Linked DNA regions of Diceros bicornis minor. The protein of the gene in region 1 purifies or fractionates together with the protein of each later gene. This does not show direct contact. Links are inferred from orthologs where the notes say so. Each region holds a gene or a part of one and is shown in the gene's direction. Other genes may lie near its edges. The genes, in order: PDHB and PDHX.

The links.
Region 2: the proteins of PDHB (region 1) and PDHX purify together in Homo sapiens (affinity purification with mass spectrometry; 4 studies listed by BioGRID and IntAct, counting the BioPlex papers as one, with this or other methods). This does not show direct contact. The link is inferred for Diceros bicornis minor from reciprocal best matches to the Homo sapiens genes PDHB and PDHX.

What each region holds. Positions count from the first base shown.
Region 1 is NC_080741.1:58,306,768-58,317,402, reverse strand, and holds PDHB (pyruvate dehydrogenase E1 component subunit beta, mitochondrial), read left to right. Parts: upstream 1-4,639; 5' UTR 4,640-4,668; coding exon 4,669-4,710; intron 4,711-4,798; coding exon 4,799-4,852; intron 4,853-6,166; coding exon 6,167-6,274; intron 6,275-6,365; coding exon 6,366-6,428; intron 6,429-6,533; coding exon 6,534-6,569; intron 6,570-6,710; coding exon 6,711-6,996; intron 6,997-7,633; coding exon 7,634-7,744; intron 7,745-8,086; coding exon 8,087-8,178; intron 8,179-8,887; coding exon 8,888-9,029; intron 9,030-9,324; coding exon 9,325-9,470; 3' UTR 9,471-9,862; downstream 9,863-10,635. UniProt on the Homo sapiens protein: The pyruvate dehydrogenase complex catalyzes the overall conversion of pyruvate to acetyl-CoA and CO(2), and thereby links the glycolytic pathway to the tricarboxylic cycle.
Region 2 is NC_080770.1:33,540,766-33,551,400, reverse strand, and holds the start of PDHX (pyruvate dehydrogenase protein X component, mitochondrial), read left to right. Parts: upstream 1-3,343; 5' UTR 3,344-3,358; coding exon 3,359-3,518; intron 3,519-10,635. Other genes in the region: APIP (methylthioribulose-1-phosphate dehydratase), read right to left, coding at 2,958-3,014.

The sequences.
Region 1 (10,635 bases):
CCGCTGCTGTGGCAGGGGGAGGGGAGGAAGTAAGGTTCAGGGGCAGGAAGGGCGATTACTTTATTTCTTTCTGTACTACTTGAATTTTTTTCCCACAACAGGATAAATTTCCTATTTGAAAACATTTTTTAAATTAAAAATGAAATAGAAAACATAAGTGCATATGGATATATGGGAAAGAAATATGCAAAAATTCTAAAAGATATTTTACTCAGAAGTGGGATATAGAGTTTCCTTTTGGGAAAATGAAAAAAGTTCTGGAGATGGATGGTGGTGGTGGTTGAACAACAGTGTGAATGTATCTAATGCCACTGAACTGTACACTTAAAAATGGTTAAAACGGTAAATTTTATGTTTGCATATTTTACCACAATAAAAAACAATCTAATTAGTATATGAGCAAAAGACTTGAACAGACACTTCACCAAAGATGGATGGCAAGTAAACACATGAAAAGATGTTCAATATCCTTAAACATTAGGGAAATATAAATTAAAGTCATGAGGGATACTACCACACATCTATTAGAATGGCTAAAATGAAAAATATTGATAATATCAGGTTCTGGCAAGGATCCAGAGCAACTGGATATCTGATACATTTGTGGAGGTAACATAAAATGGTAGAGCCACCCTGGAAAAACAGCTTGGCAATTTCTTAAAGGTTAAACACACACCTAACATACAGTTGTACTGCTGGGTATTTACCTGAAGAAATGTTAAACTTATGCTCACACAAAACCCCGCAAACCAATGTTCATGGCAGCTTTATTAATAGCTTAAAACTAGATACAACCCAAATGTCCTTCAATGAATGAATGAGTAAAGTGATATAGCCATTCAACTAGTAAGCCATAAAAAAGAAAGAAATGTTGATACACGCAAACACTTGAATGGATCAAGGGCATTAGGCTGAGTGACAATAGCTAATCTCAACGAGTTACATATTGTATGATTCCATGTATAAAACACTCTTGAAATAACAAATTATAGTGATTGAGAACAGATCAGTGATTGCCAGGAGTTAGGGGTGGGGGAGGGTGTGACTTTGAGGAAACACGAGGAGTTCTTTCTGGTGATGGAAAAATTTTGTATTCTGATTGTGGTAGTGGTTACATGAATCTGTACACGTGATAAAATTCTATAGTACTATACACATACACACACAAAAGAATGCATATAAAAACTGGTGAAAGCTGAATAAAGTCTCTATCCAAGTTAATAGTATTGTACCAGTGTCAGTTTCTGGGTTTTGACAATGTGTATGGTTATAAAAGATATTATCATTTGGCAAATCTGGGTGAAGGGTGCATGGAAATTCTTTGTACTATTTTTGCAACTTCTCGTGAGTTTTAAAGTCTTACAAAAGAAAAAATCAGAAGAAAAAAATAGGAGTAAACTATTGATACTTAACAACAACGAGGGGCGGGCCCCGTGGCTTAGCGGTTAAGTGCGCGTGCTCCGCTGCTGGTGGCCGGGGTTCAGATCCCGGGCGCGCACCAACGCACCGCTTCTCCGGCCATGCTGAGGCCGCGTCCCACATGCAGCAACTAGAAGGATGTGCAACTATGACATACAACTATCTACTGGGGCTTTGGGGGAAAAAATAAATAAATAAAATTATAAAAAAAAAAACAAGGAGGAATCTCAAACACATTTTGCTGAGCTAACGCAGCCAGATACAAAAGGGTATACACCGTCCAACTCCATTTATTTCAAGTTCTAAAACAGGCAAAGGAAAATACGATGATGGAAATCAGATCTGTGATTGCCTGTGGGGTGATGTGTGGGGAATGATCGGGAGGAGACATGAGGGAACTTTCTGGGGTGACGGAAATGTGCATTTTACTGTATTTAAGTTACACCTAAGAAGGTAGAAGGAGTGAAAAGCCCCCTTTAATAAACCTTGTTTGCAATGACAAAAAAAGTTGGTCATGTCCATAGATATCGAAAACTGGACAAAGGACTTTCTGACAACTGACAAACCAAAGTGACTTGAGGACAAATGTTCCTATAACTTTGGAAAGATTTCATTCCAAGAGAGAAATGGCCTGATTGGCCAATATATACTTTCCAATCCCTTTCTGTAAACTCTAGTGAGCATATGAATGTAGACTTTTTGAAATGATTATGGATTTAAAATTCACACTTTTATCTTTTGTGTCTTCTACACTTAAGGGAAATTCGTGCCTAGCTTTTCCAAACTGGCCATTTATAGAGTTTGAAAGGAAAGCCCATGTACCAATGAATATACCTAATGTATTTGAAATGCCCACAGCCATCATTTCAAAAGAAGATTTTCAGCTGAGGCCAGCTGAGTCCTGTGGAGTTGCACTGTCTTCCTGACTGAGCTGGCCAGACTAGCTGCACAGACTGAGTGTTCCTGGCGATTTTGGATCTCTGTATAAATATGGCCCCAGAACACTCTCCTTTGTCTAGACAAAACAGTCCAGATTCTGGCTTCTCTTTGGGTCATTCTTCCTTCACTTCGAGATCTCCTTTTGCTTTGTAATTTTAATCCCGAAGTCTTGCAGTGCTGGGTGGTGGGAGAGCTGACTCACATTTTCATTCTAAGCAGAATCCAGTGTCCACACAAATAATCCATAATCAATCTATAAATCAAAATTGGGGGTGAATTTATTACCAGCCTGGTCTGAGAACTATAACCCAGGGAGCTTCCTTCCCCAAGGAAGGAAGCAAACCTAAGAAATGGAGTGTACAGAGTGGTTATATACTGCCTTGGAACAAACAGCATACATCACATATGATAGGAATATCTCTTTTACTACTGTCACAAGATGCTTAGCTGGCACAGCAGGTCAGTGGTCAGCAGGTCAATGGTCACGAGGTGAGCATAACAGATTGGTAATTAATCCTTAGTTTCTAGGAAGAGATGCTTATCCTTAAGGAAATGCCAATGTGGGGCGAAGCTACATCCCTATCTTTAATGGCATCATTCTTATCTTTGGGAAATTATAAATATTTAAAGCAGATGTACAATGCATGCTCAACAGGCCACATCAGGCACTTTGGAAAAACAAAGTCAAGTCAAATTAGTTTTAAATCAAATGGCTTCTTCATATACTCCAATATGTCCTATTGATTTTCATTTATTTTTCACCAGGATTCCCTGACGGCTGACATCTCAAATTCAGGGGTTTCTCAGGGATGCTGGGGCTGTGGGGAAGTGCTGAGGTTTCCTGCCAAGGACTGAAGGGACTAGATGGTGGCACCAGGTGAGGGAGACACGGAAGGTCTTGACTCCATACCTTAGAGACTATCTCTCCATTTTACAGATGATGAAGCAGAGGCCCAGAGATTAAAGGCCATCTCTATGCAGCTGTCCCCAAATTTATATTTCTAGCCCTACCTAGCCTCAAGCTCCAGACTCCTCTATCCAACCTGGGTATGGCCCAGTCATCTAAACTCAGCTTGTTCAGAATAGACTCTTAACCTCCCACCTGGTCCCAGGCTCCACCCCTCCCCCATCCACCCAACAACAACAAAAAACCCGAAATCTTCCCCAACTCTTCCCTTCCCTCACAGCAATCCTACTGATTCTAGTCCCAAATAGATCTCAAATCTGTCCCTTCCTCTTCACCCTGAAACGGCCCCCTAGTCCAGCTCTCTCTCTGCCTAACACTCCCTGGGGTGTCCCTGCTTTTGCCCTCATCCTCCACCTCATTCTCCCTCACCAAGCAGATCTAGTCACTTCCTTGTGGCACCTGGAGCCCTTAGATACAACCCAGACTCTGAGGTTGCAGACCAGCAGCATGCAGCCCACAGAAGGTTTTTGTCTGGAATGTCTTGGAGATAAGTGAGGACTGAGGGAGTCCCCAGTGGTCCCGCCTGACCCCCAAGGGTCGAACGGAGACCAATGAGAGGAAGCTTCCAGATGCTGCCCCTAGTCAAGTATTTGGCTTCATACGGTCCTCTCTAAATGCAAGTTGTTGTAACCTCCTCCCAGGCGGGACCCCAACTTCTGCCTCAGAAAGCAATGGGAAAAGTCAGACAGTCCTAAATTAAAATCCCGGCTCATTTAACCAATCTGCTTCAGTTTACCCATCTGCGAAATGGAGATAATAATAACAAAATTACCTGAGAGGGTTCCTCTAAGAATTAAATGAGCTGTAAATAAAGCACTTCCCTACAATACCTGGCATGCAGTAGGCGCTTAATGCGCCAGTGAAAGCTCTTGTTCGCATTCTAAGGGACCAACAGACATTGCTGTCCAGAGAAAAGTAGGATCGCTCATAATGCAGTAAGTGCCGCGCCACTGGAGTGTGTGCAAGCGCTACTTGGTGCCCAAAGGATTTCAGTGCCCGCAGAAGGCTGGCCCTCTAGCCTCGAGTTATGCTCCTTAGTGTCTGACTTGTGGTCCCCGCGCTTCATCCCACACCACCCAGGGACGTGTCCCCAGCGTGCAGTCCGCATGTCAGCCGCAGCGCACTCTCAATAAAGTTCACTGAAGTCGCCGGAGCAAGTGCGGCAGGCCCAGCCCAAGCGCCACCTCGGCCCCGCCCCTCGGCCCCTCACCCGGGGAGGGGATGGGCGGGGCACGCAGGCGTCGCGCCCTGCTATTGGCCGGTGCCGGCGGGGGAGGCGGGGCCTGGCGCCCCCGCGGCCCCGCTGTGTTGTCATTCGGCGGCCGCTAGAGGACACGGTCAAGATGGCGGCGGTATCTGGGCTGGTGCGGAGACCCCTGGAGCAGGTAGGCAGCGGCGCGCGGGCCCCGGGACCCTGCGCGATCCCTGCCCACCTTGCGTCCCCTCTGAGCGTCCTCTCTCTCTCCCCGCCAGGTCTCCGGGTTCCTGAGGAGACGCTTTCACCGGACGGCGCCGGCGGCGCTACAGGTAACTGGCCTGGACGCTAGCCGGGGCGTGGAGGGGCCCCTGGTCCCGCGGCGGAGGCCGGGGTCGCGCCTGCGCTGTGGCGGGTGGGCACCGAGGGCAGAGGGTGGCCGCGGGCGTTGGGCGTCTACCGAGTCCCGCGTCGGACTGGTGCTGCCTCTGTGATGGCCAGTCCCCAATCACAGCAGCATGTCACCCCCGCGAGGCTCACTGGAATCAGATGGGCGATCTGAGGAAACGAGACTACGCTTCTTCCCTGACCCCCTTTTATTAATTTTTTATTGTGGCAAAATATACATAACATAAAACTTACCGTTTTAAAGTGCATCTTGAGCGGCGCTAAGTATGTTCACCATGTTGTGCAACCATCATCACATTCATCTCCAGAACTTTATCATCATCCCAAACAGAAACTGTGCCCACTAAACAATAACTCCCATTTCCCCTTAGCCGCTGGTAACCTCTGTTGTACTTTGTGTGTCTATGAATTTATCTATTCTAGGTACCTCCTGTAAGTGGAATCATACATTAGTCCTTTTATACCTGGCTTATTTCACTTATGTGTTTTCAAGGTTCATTCATGTTATAGCAGGTGTCAGAAGTCCCTTCCTTTTTAAGGCTGAATAATAGTCCATTGTATGCGTATACCACATTTTATTTATCCATTCCTCTGTTGATGGACATTTGGTTGCTTCCACTTTTTGGATTTGAGAATAATGCTGCTGTGAACGTTGGTGTGCAAGTATGAGTCTCTACTTGGGTATATTATCTAGAACGGGAATTGTCAGATCATATTGTAATTCTGTGTTCTACGTTTTGAGGAATTCCCCCCTCCTTTTATTTTTTATTGGAGAATTCTACCAACCTGTATAGTAAAATAACTCCTAGATCCTGAAGGCAAAGTGTTTGGCAGTGCCTGGCACCTAGTGAGTTGTCAGTATGTAGTATTATTTATGCTTTCTTGACAGTTCTCTGCCCCACAGTACACCACGTGTGGAAATAAAACAAACCACTATACTTTCTACTTGGGAAACTGCCTATGAGCTGGTCTGGCCAGCAAGCAGATTTTTTAAGCTTAGGTGCACGTCAAGAAAAGTGTTCAGTAAACTTCTCATTAACACATCCAACCAAAGACTGGCTGTGTGTGATAGAAATGTTACTTTTAGAATTCTTTGAACTTTTAAAGAGAAACCTGTTCCAGTGGTAATTTTTATATGGTATGCTATGGACAGCCTAGGTGATTATAAAGAGAGAGACTCTCAATAGTATCCTAAATAATCCTTTAGCTTATTGACTGTTTTCCCATACCTGTGACAGGTGACAGTTCGTGAGGCTATAAATCAAGGTATGGATGAGGAGCTGGAAAGAGATGAGAAGGTGTTTCTTCTTGGGGAAGAAGTTGCCCAGTATGATGGGGCATACAAGGTAACCAAGATACGGGAAAGCTATACAAAACTGAGGTGGCCGTTTGCCCCCAGATACACTTAAAAGTAATGGGGTCAATGCTTAATTGTAGGTTAGTCGAGGCCTGTGGAAGAAATATGGAGATAAGAGGATCATAGACACGCCCATATCTGAGGTGAGCCTTCCATCAGGAAGCTGACTTTTGAGGGGCATGTCTATTAAAGTGTACGCTGTTATAATTTCTATGGATTTTCACTTATGTTTGTGTTTTACTTTATAGATGGGCTTTGCTGGAATTGCTGTAGGGGCAGCTATGGTATGTAATCCTCTTTATGAATCTGATCCAAAGAAATTCTTTTAACATGACCTTTTAAAAACGTTTGAATGTTGGAAGAGCGGAGGGGTTGTTTGCCACTCTTCATTGCTGTTTTTAACATCTGTGTTTTTTATTTGACAGGCTGGATTGCGGCCCATTTGTGAATTTATGACCTTCAATTTTTCTATGCAAGCCATTGACCAGGTTATAAACTCTGCTGCCAAGACCTACTACATGTCAGGGGGCCTTCAGCCTGTGCCCATAGTCTTCAGGGGGCCCAATGGCGCCTCAGCCGGCGTAGCTGCCCAGCACTCACAGTGCTTTGCTGCCTGGTATGGGCACTGCCCAGGCTTAAAGGTGGTCAGCCCCTGGAATTCAGAGGATGCAAAAGGACTTATTAAATCAGCCATTCGGGATAACAATCCAGGTCAGCAGAGTAAGCCTTGGGTCTCTTTTGAACATTAAAGAACTAAAGTGAGGGCCGGCCCCGTGGCTTAGCAGTTGGGTGCGCGCGCTCCGCTGCTGGCGGCTCAGATTCGGATCCCGGGCATGCACAGACGCACCATTTCTCCGGCCATGCTGAGGCTGCGTCCCACATACAGCAACTAGAAGGATGTGCAGCTATGATATACAACTATTGACTGGGGCTTTGGGGAAGAAAAATAAATAAATAGAATTAAAAAAGAAAAAGAACTAAAGTGAAATCTTTGCATGGAAGGAACCATTAAAGTCTTCTAGTTAGGCTTAGACATATCATATAAATGTTAATGATGTAGAGATAGAATAAAAATAGTAAAAAATGTTTTTCTTATTTCTGACTATAAGGGGGCCAGTAAGGTATAGGAAACATTTACTACACACTTACAACGCTGGTTTAACCTCAATAGATAAAATTAGGATTGACCAGACTACAAATATCAGTACCTAAACCATCTTCAAGGCTGCTGGCCAAGATAGATAGATACAAGGCTTCCTAATCAGCACAGTGAAACTTTTCACAAAATGAATAATAATGTTGTGTATACATTTTTAGTCATGTAGTTACTTTTGTTTATATTTTGCAGTGGTGATGCTAGAGAATGAATTGATGTATGGAGTTCCTTTTGAACTTTCCTCAGAAGCTCAGTCAAAAGATTTTCTGGTTCCTATTGGAAAAGCCAAAATAGAAAGGCAAGGTAAGAGAATTTAGTATACATTTAAACATTATTTGTAATCCAGCCCTTCTGTTTATGTTGGTCAAATTCAATCTAGAGGTTATTGCCCTTTGCTTTGACTAGGAAGTTATAGGATGAGTTCAAGTTAAGGATGTGTCATGCCCTGATTGCTCATACACTTGTGCGTTTCTAAATATCAGTCTGGTAGATTTTTGTTTCATTTCTAGGAAGGCTGCTACACTCCTCACTGGAATGAAGTTGAGTTGAAGATTTTACAAATGAACAAGAGCCACAGCTGTCTGCAGAGTGGTACAGCGCCTTTAGTTTCAACCTGACCTCTGATCTGTGACCACTTTGTTTCAGGGACACACATAACTGTAGTTTCCCATTCAAGACCTGTGGGCCACTGCTTAGAAGCTGCAACAGTGCTGTCTAAAGAGGGAATTGAATGTGAGGTGAGTGGACATTCACTTGTTCTTACAGAATCAGAAAGGTTCTTTTTAAATTTAAGACCCAGAAATTAGAGTTTGAGTTCTGTAACAGGTTAACTAGATGTAAAATCTTGCTTTGTCCCTCAGTTCTGCCTCTGCTTGAAGCTGGGGACCTATTTGCTTTTCACACACCTAACTTTTTACCACTTGGTTCTGGATCTTCTAGAATAGTACGTGCTTTTGCAAGTTAAGCTCCAACCTGGGAGCTGGGGGTTGGGAGAAGGGGAAACTGAGAAGTCAGTGAGTCTAACCTTTTCATATTCAGGACCTACCACTTGCTAGTTACACTTGGGCAAGTTATGTACTCTGAGTCTCGGTTTCATCAGCCATAAAATGGGGATAATATATTTTCTGTCCCATCAGGGTGGTTGTGAGAATTACACTTAGTGTAGTATCTGGTACACAGTAAGCAGGCAAATGTTAGTTATTAATTATTTTGGTGAGAAGGAAGTTAGAGCCAAGGGAAGATGAGTGAATTTAGTAAGTTAGAGCTACTTTTGGTAGAAATCAAGCATTTTGTTTTAATTACAATTTCCCCTTTTACATTTTGTTCATGAATAGGCAGGTTAGATTTTCCTAGACCCAAAGATTAATTGGAAACAAAAAAGGAAGTGGTATTGGGATAAGACTATATTTGTGATGTAGTGGCTCTATTATTATGTTATCTGTTTAGGTGATAAATATGCGAACCATCAGACCAATGGACATTGAAACAATAGAAGCCAGCGTCATGAAGACCAATCATCTTGTAACTGTGGAAGGAGGCTGGCCACAGTTTGGAGTGGGAGCTGAAATCTGTGCCAGGATCATGGAAGGTATTTCAGAGAAACGGGTTGTAGAATAGTCAAACTGTAATAAACTTTGTGTACCTGGATACTGGATAAAGAGAGCAAAAGCTAGGGGTGGCCAAACGACTTGAACTTTCAACTTGTAACTTTGGCATTTTTCCTTTGGGTAAATGTGTAAAAAAGCAAAGCCAGAAACAGTTCCCCATAATTAGCATTCCTTTAGATTTTCCCTCTTCCTTGGGCACCCACACCTTTTGTGCCAAGGTAGTGGTGCTCAGCTGGCTTTTCTTGCCTCTCTCAGTTCAGCCTCCTTCTCTTCTAGGCCCTGCATTCAATTTTCTGGATGCTCCTGCAGTTCGTGTCACCGGTGCTGATGTCCCTATGCCTTATGCAAAGATTCTAGAAGACAACTCTGTACCTCAGGTTAAAGACATCATATTTGCAATAAAGAAAACATTAAATATCTAGTTTGGACTTGAATACCAAGGCATTGAGATTTATTTAAAATACTTGCTGACACTTCACCTGGAGTGTACTCTAAGACCTTGTGATTCATAAAGTTATCTCTAAAGCAACATGTTTTTGTACTGGGAAGAAGTTTAAATGTGCTTGTATGTGGAAAAACTCTCCCCTCTCCTTCCCTAGACTCCATGCTTTTTTTTGTCTGTTATAATGGCCATGTTCTTTGAATGAGACTAATGTAAAATTGACCCTCTCACTAGAAGGACAAGGTGTGCAGGTGGCAGAGTCCTGATGAAAGATATACCAAAAAAGACAACTTATGTGTAAAAATAAAAGCATATAATCTACATTTACTGTTAAATTGTTTTGATAAGGAATAAAGGAATCCCTAACCATGACTAATTGTATTTTTATATTCTTGAAGTAATAAATGTGAGGTGGAGTCTTAAAATTCCATTAAGAAATAAGTGCCATCAGGAACTAATCACTAATCATTAATCACCTAGACTGCATCACACTTAGAACAGGAACTTGCCCACAGACTCTTCAAATGCCTAATTCTAACAGGGTGCCCTTTAAAATTATTAGGGTATTTTTCCCATTGCCAAAAAACAGACATTCTGCCATACTCTTCCCCTCTTCAGAAGTTGAGATGGAAAAGGCAGGTTTAAGTTAGTTACAGACGTGTACAACTGGTACCTAACTTAAAGACCAAGACAGGATTGTTAGCTCTTATTACTTAAGAGGGAAAATATGACACAAAAGAAATAGAGATAGGATAGGCAAGAAGGAAACTTTAGAAATACTGTCTGGATCTTTTTTTTTTTTGGTGAGGAAGATCAGCCCTGAGCTAACATCTGCCAGTCCAGTCCTCCTCTTTTTTGCTGAGGAAGACTGGCCCTGGGCTAACATCCATGCCCATCTTCCTCCACTTTATAGGGGACGCCCCCGTCTGGAATGCGAACCGGCAAACCCCGGGCCACCAAAGCGGAGCGCGCACTTAACCGCTTGCGCCACTGGGCTGGCCCCTGGATCTAGTCTTTATGTTTACAAAAGGTACTACAAGAAGTTCCCATTTAACATATCTAGCCAAGCTACAGACAACACATTTTCTTGACATGGTTTATTTTAATAAAAAATACAGCTGAACATTTATCACAGATTACATGAA
Region 2 (10,635 bases), on another chromosome or scaffold:
AGCTATGACATACAACTATCTACTGGGGATTTGGGGGGAAAAAATAAATAAAATCTAAAAAAAAAAGAAATGTTTTCTTTTAAGCTATCAACAATTTGGTAAGACATACCTTTGTGAACATAGATGAAACATTTACTTTTCCTCCCTACCTGATCCGCCAGAATTCAGAAACTCTGAGAGTAGTTTTATTTCCACTTGTATAAAAAATCAGGCCAAGTTTTTAATATAAACAAATTAGTCTTGCTGTGATTATTTTGGTAAAAAATGAGGATAACTGTAGAGATAAAAATTACGTGTGCACCCTTATAAATATTAGATTCTAGTCCTGTTAATTGTCTTCAGGTTTTGTTATATATCTATAGACTAGACTCCCCTGGCCTAAGGTATTGCCTTTGGCCTCGCCAACTGTTTGAAGTACCCTCTTTGGAAAATACAAACTAATGTTACATGAGACAGTTACCAGCAGATCAGTGTCTACGGGTACATAACTTTCTGCTGATCCCCTGTTGTCTTATGCTAATATGGCCAGCCAGCGTAAGTCTCTACTGTTTTATGCTCAAGCCTATCAGCAACAGATTCCAATTTAAAGGGTCCTGTTGGTCAGAGTGCAGAGCCTGGTGACCGGGGATTCTGGAAGCATCATGAGAGGAAGACAGCCCTCAAGCCCCATTGGAAAGGGCCTTGCCAAGTGCTCCTGACTGCTGACACTGCTGCAGAACTAGAAAGCATTGCATGCTGCATGCCCCTCTTTGGGTACAACTTTGTGTCTGGTTACTACGAGGAAGCATGAGCTTATGAACATCCAGACAGCTGGCACACGAAAGGATAATGCCTTTTACGACACCATAATATTCCATTTCAAGTTCTTGTTAAAGGAAAAAAATCCAACCACAATCTCATAGGTTTAGGCGAGGCTTGGCAACCCCTTTTTACACCTCATCTACTCTCTACTGGTTACCAGTGCTGAAGGGTTTGTCCCTTGGATTGATGTTATCCATAATGACCTGTTGACAAAATTTTATCCCTAACCACAGCTACACTGGCAAATTCTACTGCTCAAGCCTTGGCTCAACAACGATCCCTGGACTCCCTAAGGGGGACTGTATTAACTCCCTAAGGGGGATTATATCAGATAACCCAAGGGCTCTTGATATCCTAACTGCTCAACAAGGGAGTACTTGCGCACTCCTGGGAGAAGAATGTTGCTTCTACGTAAATGAGTCTGTGGGAGTGGAGAAGAATGTTGCTTCTACGTAAATGAGTCTGGTCACATAAACCAAGAGTTAAAGGTCATAAAAGATAATATAAATGTCCTCAGCGATACAGGTCATACTACTGGCTACCTGGACCACTTTAACCTGTTTGGTTGGTTACCCTCTGGCCTCGAGCTCTTTTGAGATCAGGGTTCCAGGCCCTAGTAATGATTATTGTTCTGGTTTGTTCAATTTTTCCTGCTTGAAACTTCTAATGATTTGCATTTCATGATACTGCATATTTGTGTCCACTGCCAGAGTAATGATTGCTCAGCGACTTGAGATGACTGACCAATCCTGCAACTCTGAACAAAGGACTTGACACTTTTTCCAGGTAGAAACTAGACCTAGGACTCAATTCGTGACTGCCTCCTCATTGCTCACATATGGCCAAAGCCCCTGACTGCATTACTCCTACTAATGATCGAGCACCGGCTACCAGGGACATGACTCCCCAGGAATGAGCCTTCCTGGCAACGAGGGAAACATCAATATATCAAAGGGTTGATCCGTGATGCTTTCTGCTACAAGATCTTGACCAAAAGGGGGAAATGTGGATAGCAATAACAAAATGGAATACCACATGTCAAGGCTTCTACAATGGAGCGGGGAGGCCACGAAGGAAATGGGGCTCATGTACGCACACATGTCTACCCAGACCGAAGGTAACTTTTGAACTGTGCTTCATTGCTGTCATCTTGACCTCTCAAGAGCTATGCTTACTCCTACAGATATGAACTTTCTGCCCTAGAGATGACCTTACCAATCACGGATAGCTAAGAAATAGCAGTTGTTGCCGGAACCAATCACAAATTTTGCAAACAACCCGTGTGATTTCTCTCTTTCTGCCTTTATAATCCCCTCCCTCCTTTGTCTTCCTTGGAGCACATTTTGGGTTTTAGCCTGAACCTGTGTCTCCTGAATTGCAATTCTATTGCCCAAATAAATATCTGCCGCTCTTGGAATTGTCATTCCTTCCCAATGTAGTCGGCATTGACAAGTATTTCACAATAAAATCTCCCGCATGTTATTACTTTTTAATTGAGACCTTCAACCCTAAGAACACCAGGAGCAATGAGGGGGCTAATTTTAGGAGGCTTTCCCGGCTCTTTAGCAGGGCTTCTCACGCTGCCTTGTAACTGTTCACTGCTCTAGTTTTCCTCTACACCCCAGGCCACTTGCCTTAATCACTACTGTATCCTTGAGCCCCTAGAAGGGTCCCATAAAACCGTTAGTGTGTATAAGTGAGTGAAAAGTATACACAGCCCGAGGCTGGATTTCCCTTTAACGTCTGCTTAAGGAAGAAGCGCTTCTGCGATCACCCCATAATCAACCTAAACTGAGGCAGGCAGAGAGCAATGCCCAGAGGAAACGTGCGGGTACCGAGGCCCGCGCTTCCGAGTGCCCCTGCGGCCCACCGTCGGGCTGGGCGCCAGGGCAGGGGGCGAGCTCGAGGCCAGGCCCAGCTCCAGCGCACCGGCGCGCTTCACCTCGCCGTGCGGCCCGTCCTCCCGACAAGTCTTTAGGACACGCGGGAGACGCCCAGCGGCCTCCTCGCTCCGCTACTTCACCCCCTCCGGCCTTCGGTGCCCCCGCCCGCCGTCGGAGAGCCGGACCGCCCGGCGCCCTGCCCCACGCCGGCACGCGGAGCGCCCCGCAGCCCCCACCTCCTCGGAGCCCAGGGCACCGGCGGCCCCGCCCTACCTGCGCGCCGCCTCGCCGAGAGCAGCAGTCTCCCTCCGGAGCGCGACAGCCAGACATGGCCGGACCAGTGGACCCCGGCCTCCAGCCCTACCTGAGTCGCTCCCGGCGCTGCAAGCGGGCTCGCGTGCGGCGCCGCAACGCCACCAGGCGGCGCCGGGGGCAGCCCCGGGGGCGGCGCGGACGAGGCGGGAGGCGGGAGGCGGGAGGCGGGAGGCGGGCCCGGGGGCCTCGCAAACCGCAGATCCCGCGGCGCTGCCGCCTGTGGAGGCGGGGGCCACCGCGGCGGGAGGAATCGGCCGGCGCCCAGGGGGCGTGGCCACTGGCCGGGAGGCGGTCCCGGGCGGGCCTGATGACTGGGCCTTCAGGCGGTGCTTCGGGCAGCCCGCGAGAAGGCCGGGAAGATGGCGGCCACCTGGAGGCTGGGCTGTGACCCCCGGGTTCTGCGCTGCGTCTTGGGCTTTAGCGGCCGCCGAGGCACGGGAGTGCTTACGGGGGCTGCCGGGTGGTCTGTCGGCCGCGGAGCTGGTTGGAGATGGCTTCACAGCACGCAGTGGCTGCAGGGTGAGTGGCTGGGGCTTTCTCTGCTCCTCTGTGTAGCTGAGCGGGGGGCCTCGGCAGGGGCTTTTTGATTGAGGGCCTGCGTCTGGGTGTGGAGGTACCGGGACTTCCTGACCCCCGGCCTTTTCTCGGGGACGGCTCCGCTAACTTGGTTTGGTGCATGCCGCGAAGGGCTTTCTTGGGAGCTGGGGGAACTTGACTCTGTCCCTGGTCCCCTGGTTGGGATGGCTTCTCTGTGACCTTGCCTTGGAATTTGGGTTATTTGTGAGGCGCGCAGAGAGGTCCTCAATGCTCTTCTCGCAGGCCCCTTCCCAGTCGCGTCTCAGGTTGCTTTAGGGTTGTCAAGCATTTCGGATAGGGAAAAGCTGCTTCAGGTTGCTGAGATTCAAAAGCCGCTCACTTTTAGCTGTCCTTCTTCATCCTCTTGGGCCATCTCTATTTGAGATTTTCGAGGCCACTCAGGTTGCCCCACGCTGCGACTAGTGGAGGACTTAGTTTGTAAATTTGCCCATGGCATCACAGATATAGGTCTGGGAGAATGTTTTAAGCAAAACATGCATTTGGAATAGTGAAAGTTTGGAAGGGGAATCGTCTCAAGAAATTTATCATAGAAAGTTGACATTTACTAATGATATCGACACAACACAAGGCTTCAAGTATTTAACGGTATGTAGTATATAGTATGCCGGGCATTATTTTTCTTTACATGGGAGTCGGTCGGGGAGCTAGGACCCACAATTTTTGTGTGTTACATATGACCTGCTAATCATCATTCTGGAGCTCTACAGAATGAATTTTAATCTAAAAAATTAGGTGCAGTCGGCATTGTCTACATATTCTAAGCTGCCTGAGGCTCAGGAAAAAAAAAAAGTTGCAGCCACACGGTAGGATGAGTGCACTGAGATTTTTAAAGATTCGGCAATGGGAACAATTTATTTCAGTTTCTTCAGCTTAATGTTTCATAAAATACTCCTTGGAGCAGTGGTTTTTTATCTGTGTAGGGAATTCCCTGTCCTTTCTCCCCCAAGTTTGTTAAATATTGCACTTTCCTACAGTTCTCAGAGATTCTGTCTGGGGTGGAGCTCAGCAATCTGCATTTTACAAACTACCTTAGGTGAGTTTTGATATTTTATGTTGGTGTTTGGTGGGCTACCCTTTGAGACTCACTGTCTTAGAAAATCACGGAATAGTAAAAGCTCAGTGTTGCGAATAATCTAGGAAAAGTGTTCTTAACCTTGATTGTAAAACAGATCCTTTTGAGAATCTTTGAATGCTCTAGAACTTCTCTGGGATTTTCCTTACACGTAATGTAAGGACTTTTGCCTTTAGAAACTCACTTAGGCAATCTTTATCTGATGCATCATGACATTTTACCCACCCCCACACACACCATGAACAACTTTTCTAACTCTGCTCGAACGTCATTTGTAAGGGAGAGGACACTACATCCCAAGGAAGCTGTCATAGTTTCCCAGTGCCTCCCTCTTTCAGTTAGAAGGACCCTTGTGATTACATTGGGCCCACCTGGATAATTCAGGATGCTCGCCCCATCTCAAGATCAGCTGTTTAGTAACCTTAATTCCTTCTTCAGCCTGGATTCCCCTTTGCCGTGTAGCATAACGTATTCACAGCTTCTGGATGTTAGGACTAGATGTCTTAGAAGGGCAGGGGGCATTATTCTGCCTACCACAGAAGCTGACTATGTTGTTGGCTAGCTCTAAGTTATTTGGAAATTTTGGATTTTTTTCCTAATACTGAGTCAAAATTTGCCTGACTTTTCACCGACAGGTTTTTGTTTTGCCATGCCAAATACACATGGCAATCCTTGAACTGTTTGTTTTACAAAGCATAGATTTATACCGTGTTTGTTTGTTTTTCTCTGAGCTTGGTAGAAAGTGTAGTTTCATAAAACTAAGCAATTATTTGGTAATCTACAGACTATATGAATTAAGTACAATTATTGAACTATTTCCTCTTTCACATGTCTATCCAGGATTTAAAAATCTGTCCGTTGGGAGTACACTTGGAGTTTTGGTTTCCTTAGGAGGTGTTTGTTGGCAGCATTTTAATGAGCTATGACATATGCCATGTGCTTAGCGCTTCCTGGAACACCTTACTCCTCACAACAACCTAGTAAAGTTGGCATTATCTGCATTTTACTGTACAAAAGTACTAAGGCCCAGAGAAATTAAGTAGATCTCCCAAAGCCACACAGCATAATATTAATGCAATGAAAAGAAGAAAAAAAAAAAAATATATATATATAATTTGTGTCTATGTTTAACAAGTCCCTAACTTGTTTCATTCTTTCCACTGAAGCGTTTATTGCGAGGGCAGAGACTGTTGTTCACCATTCTACTGATACTGAGTGAAAAAAGGAGCATTCATTGTTAGGCATACGGTGGCCTGCTTGGGAGGTAGTTGACCTACTGAACAGAACATATGCTCTGTATTCTGGCCCAGGACCCATTTAGTCACATTTACCTTCTGGAGCCACAATACTGAATCCTGTATAGGCCTTATCCTTAAGGTATTAATAGTCTGCCTGGGGAGATCAACATTAAGGGCTGATTTCTGTGCTGTGTGCAGTGAGCTCTGTGGGGTAAACTTAGGATGATAAGGGACTACATAAGAAGGCTTCCTAGGGGTGACAGCCCTTCCAGGCTGAAAGAATAGCAGATTTAAAGGCCCAGAGGCCAGATGGGATATTTACATAAGTGACATAGCATTTGTAAACAGTTTATCAGCCTACCCGAGGCAGTTAACTTGGAAGAGTTTCCGTTGCTACTCTCTCAGAGTAAATGGCATGGTTTGGAATTTAATTAATAATAAGATGTTAATTGATAATATGATTTTAAGTTGTCTCTGAGAAATAACATCTTGAATTTAAAATGACATTTAGGTGGAAAAATAGTTGAGGTTCAATCTTTGTAGTGCTTTGCCTGTTATATAACCACAGACCTTGTGCATGTAGATGTTAAATAAACATATCTAGGGAAGCGAAAAATCGAGGAATTTATAAAAGGACACAGAGGTCTATAATCGAGGAATTTATAAAAGGACACAGAGGTCTATAGTAGGATTGCAAGTTGACAGCCAGTGAACTGACTCTACATCATGTTAGAAGAAAATTACATTTATTGACAACATTTAAAACTAGGAACTGCACATAAAAATCTAGATTTTTGTCTTCTCTTGAAAATTTAAAGTTAGGGCCTATATGGTGACAGTTGGTTGAGACTGAGGAATGATTATTATCTTTAGGTAGGAAATTCTTCTAATTTACTACTGTCCCCTCTACTCTCTGTTACCTCTCAGTCAACAAGGCTGAATGTCCCTTGGTATTTGTCATCACCTCTAGTTGTCATTCTTTTCTTATACCCTTGTCTTTATGGAAAGCAGAAAACAAGAGATAGACCAGGAAAAATGGGAGAGAGCAGATATTGTGGGTATGTATGTAAAGGAAGAAAATTCCTGTAGATTTAATATGAAAATAAAGCATGTCTGGATCTAAAGAGAAACTTTAAGATGCTGCTAGCCCACTTCTCTCTCCTCCTATTCCCTGTAGGCATCTACATTTTTGACAGCAGTTCTATAACAAGGAGGCAACTTCTTTGATAGGAGTTGATGGTATGGTATTTCTGCCAAAACGTGGATACCATTTTAGGCCTGGTGCTTATCAAATCCTTCTACACCGATACTGATGAGACTGATCCCGTTCTTTGAATTCTCCGTTAACTTTGGAGACAGGAATACGTAGACCAGCTGAAGCAAAAATAGGAATTATTAGAGGAGTACACCACCACGTAGATGAAGGGCTGGCTACTTGGGCCATGGGGGAACCATGACGATTCCATCCATTTCTTCTAGGGCTCCCATTGTCTGTCTTCTCTCTTTCTCTGATTTGCTTTTCTCCGCAGACTTGCCAGTCTGCCTACTCATGGCTTTTCTCTCTCTGTAATGTCAGCTTGCCTTGCCTTCATGCTGATTCAGGCCCTTATGCTCCATGCTCTTTCAGTTTAGTTCGAGTGTGCACCGTCATTTCTGTGACCTAGTTCCAGGTTCCCTGGATAGGGAAGCTGATGACCCAGTGTGGGTCAGTTGTGGTTTAGGGCACACAGGGCTGATTCCTTCAAAGCCTGCAGTTTGGACGTCTTCTTTGAAAAGGAAGTATCAGTTGGGAATCAGTGATTGGCATGTCTGTTACTACGACAGTCTGATTAAACTAAGACAGTGGTGAAGTGCTTCTTCATTTTAATTGTTTCTAGGATAAGTAATGACTAAGCAAAATGTATGATCACCTAAGCAAAACAGATCTAGGCTCCTCAGTAGTTGAGATGTGTGGCCATGGAAGGAGATAAATGAGATCTTAGTAGAAGCAGCTGCGTGAGAAACTAGTACGATTTGGATTATCAGGAAGTACTTAGTACATATTTGCATTGCTTTAAAACATTTCGTTCTGTGTATGAAAGTGGGACATTCCAAGTAGCCATCACATTTTGAGCACTGAGTATTTGTCAGGCTTCGTTTTGGATTCTTTACTTGCATTACTTCTGATCATCATAAGAAGCCTGCAAGGGTTAGTTGTGTTTTACAGGTGAAGAAATAGAGACTCAGTGAAGATTACTGTGTGGCCAAGGTTAGTGAGTAAGTGGATGACTGCTTTGGAACTATGCACATACTATACTAGTATCCAGAGGAAGAAAAGAGGTCCTTTCTTGTTGGATATTTTAGAATGAATTGACTTGGACTAATCAAGGGGCTTGGTACTATAGACTGAATATTTGTGTGCCCCCCCCCCCAATTCATATGTTGCAACCTAATGCCCACTGTTTTGCTATTAGGAAGTGGGGGCCTTTGGGAGGTGCTTAGGTCATGATGGGAGCCCTCATGAATGGGATTAGTGCCCTTATAAAAGAGACCCTGCAAAGCTCCCTAGCCCCTTCCACCATGGGAGGACACAGCGAGAAGGCATTGTCTATGAACTGGGGAGTGGGCCCTCATCAGCCACCACACCAAACCTGCCAGCATCATGATCTTGGACTTCCTAGCCTCCAGACTGGGAGAAGTCAGTGTTGTTTATAAGCCACCAGTCTCAGGCATTTGTTATAGCAGTCTGAACAGACTGAGACACGAGGTAATGAGGTCACTCACTCAGAGCATGTATTCACAAGAAAGGTATACAGCTAACAAAATTAGGGCTCTGCCAGCAAGAAAGAAGTTGGAGGAGTGGGTTTGGGAATAATGAGTAGCATTTATTGAGACCTTACTGTGTACTATGCACCCTTCTCAGCACTTGACGTGAATTAACTCATTTAGCATTCGCAGCAGCTAATGCTGTGCTCGAGATAGAACTCCAATTTCAGCCCAGGTCTGCCTGACAACCAAAGCCTGTTTCCTTAACCTTAACCGCCATCTACCTCAGTGTGATAGCTTGGCTATAGACGTCAGCATAGCAGTGTCAGCTTGCTGAAGTTTTGTTCGCCATGTGTATATTCTGTTTTACCCCTCTGCTTTTTTTTGTTTCATGAAGTGAGACATGGTTTACTAATGTTTACATTGTGAAATAGTATTTCAGTGACAGTGACAGTAATGTTATTACATCATTTTAGAACAATTTAAGATACTAAAAATCTAGACTGTGTATAAAGGGTGGCAGGACCATTTAAGAGAGTTATAACATGTTAATATCCCCCATCTGTAAGTTTCTAAGATGATGTACTCTTAAATATGCCTTATTGTTGTCTTGAACTTCATTTGCTTTTTACAGCAAAATGTGTAAATCCCCAAACTATTATGCACGTGTTCATTCTTTTGCTAGACTCTTAAGTGGAGTAGTGATTTCTTTTTGCCGTTGTTCCAAGATTGCAAAATAAACTGAGATTCATGTAGAGTCTTAATTTTATACTTTAATACTTAGAAGACCAGTGTTGTAAGCTGAAACCTCTTCTGAAGTGTTTGGTTTGTCTCACTCAGAGGAAATAGTTCTGCAGCCATAGACTACCTAGCACTTCAGCCAGCCCTTACAAATGTACCATTGGACACTAAGTGTGTGAAAGGATCAACAGATTCCGTAAACCAATGATCTACTCAGTACCTTTCTGCAATCAAGGACTTACATGAATTTCAATTACATGAAACTTTTCTAGGGAAGAATTAAGGTTGGCTGATTTATAATTCAGGGGAGCTTCCTTGGGAATCTACTAGCACTGGTTTTTAGAGGGGCACTTATCTATTTGAAAACTGGTAAAAGCTATACCACTTCTTCAGAAAAATGCATATATCCTCAATTTTGTATGTGATTCCAGGGAACTTGTAGATCTCCCTGTAATTTATCTATAAATACTACATAGTCTCCAGCCTATTTCTATACACATTTTGATCATTTCCTACATAAAATAGTTGTGCTACTTTGCAAGGATACTTACCATATCTGAGAACAAGAAAGATATGTTTTAATGTAGGGGTTCCAACTGTAAGCAAATGACTAGTGGCTACATTGACATAAGTGACTACAACAAAGCCAGTAATTTGGAAATCTTGATTCAGATCTGGGTTTGGGTTAATTTACTTGTGCATTTAGGCTTATCAGACCACTCATCTTTCCCTCAACATCTGTACTTTCCTTTCTTTTGCTCATATTGTTCCTTCAAATGGAATAACTTTCCTTGTGGTTTGAAATCTTTCTCATTACTGAAGTGCCACCCTCCGGAGTCTTTCTATAGGGTCCTGGCAGGGAAGAGATGACACTCTTAAAAAGAGTAATTTGAGGAGAGGTTAATAAGTGACCATTTTTGTGAATTCAGGGTGCTGTATTAAGGGGCTGTTTAGAGCAAGGTGCTGTCACCACCCCTAGGCCTGACGAGGCGTGGGAAGGAAGCAATTACCAGAACTGGAAAGGAGGGAGCCTGTGGGAGGACATCTGATGAAGCTGTGCCCCTCGGTTAAAGGATCCAGCCAGCCCCAGGTGACTTCATGGGGAGGCAGCTGAGGAAATAAATACCCTGACCTCACTCTCTTCTCTCTCTTCAGTCTCCTGCTTATGTGGCCCATTGGCTGAACCCTACTGGAGACCAGCGCACAAGGAAGCCTGTGATGTAGCCCATACAGTAGTGTGGGG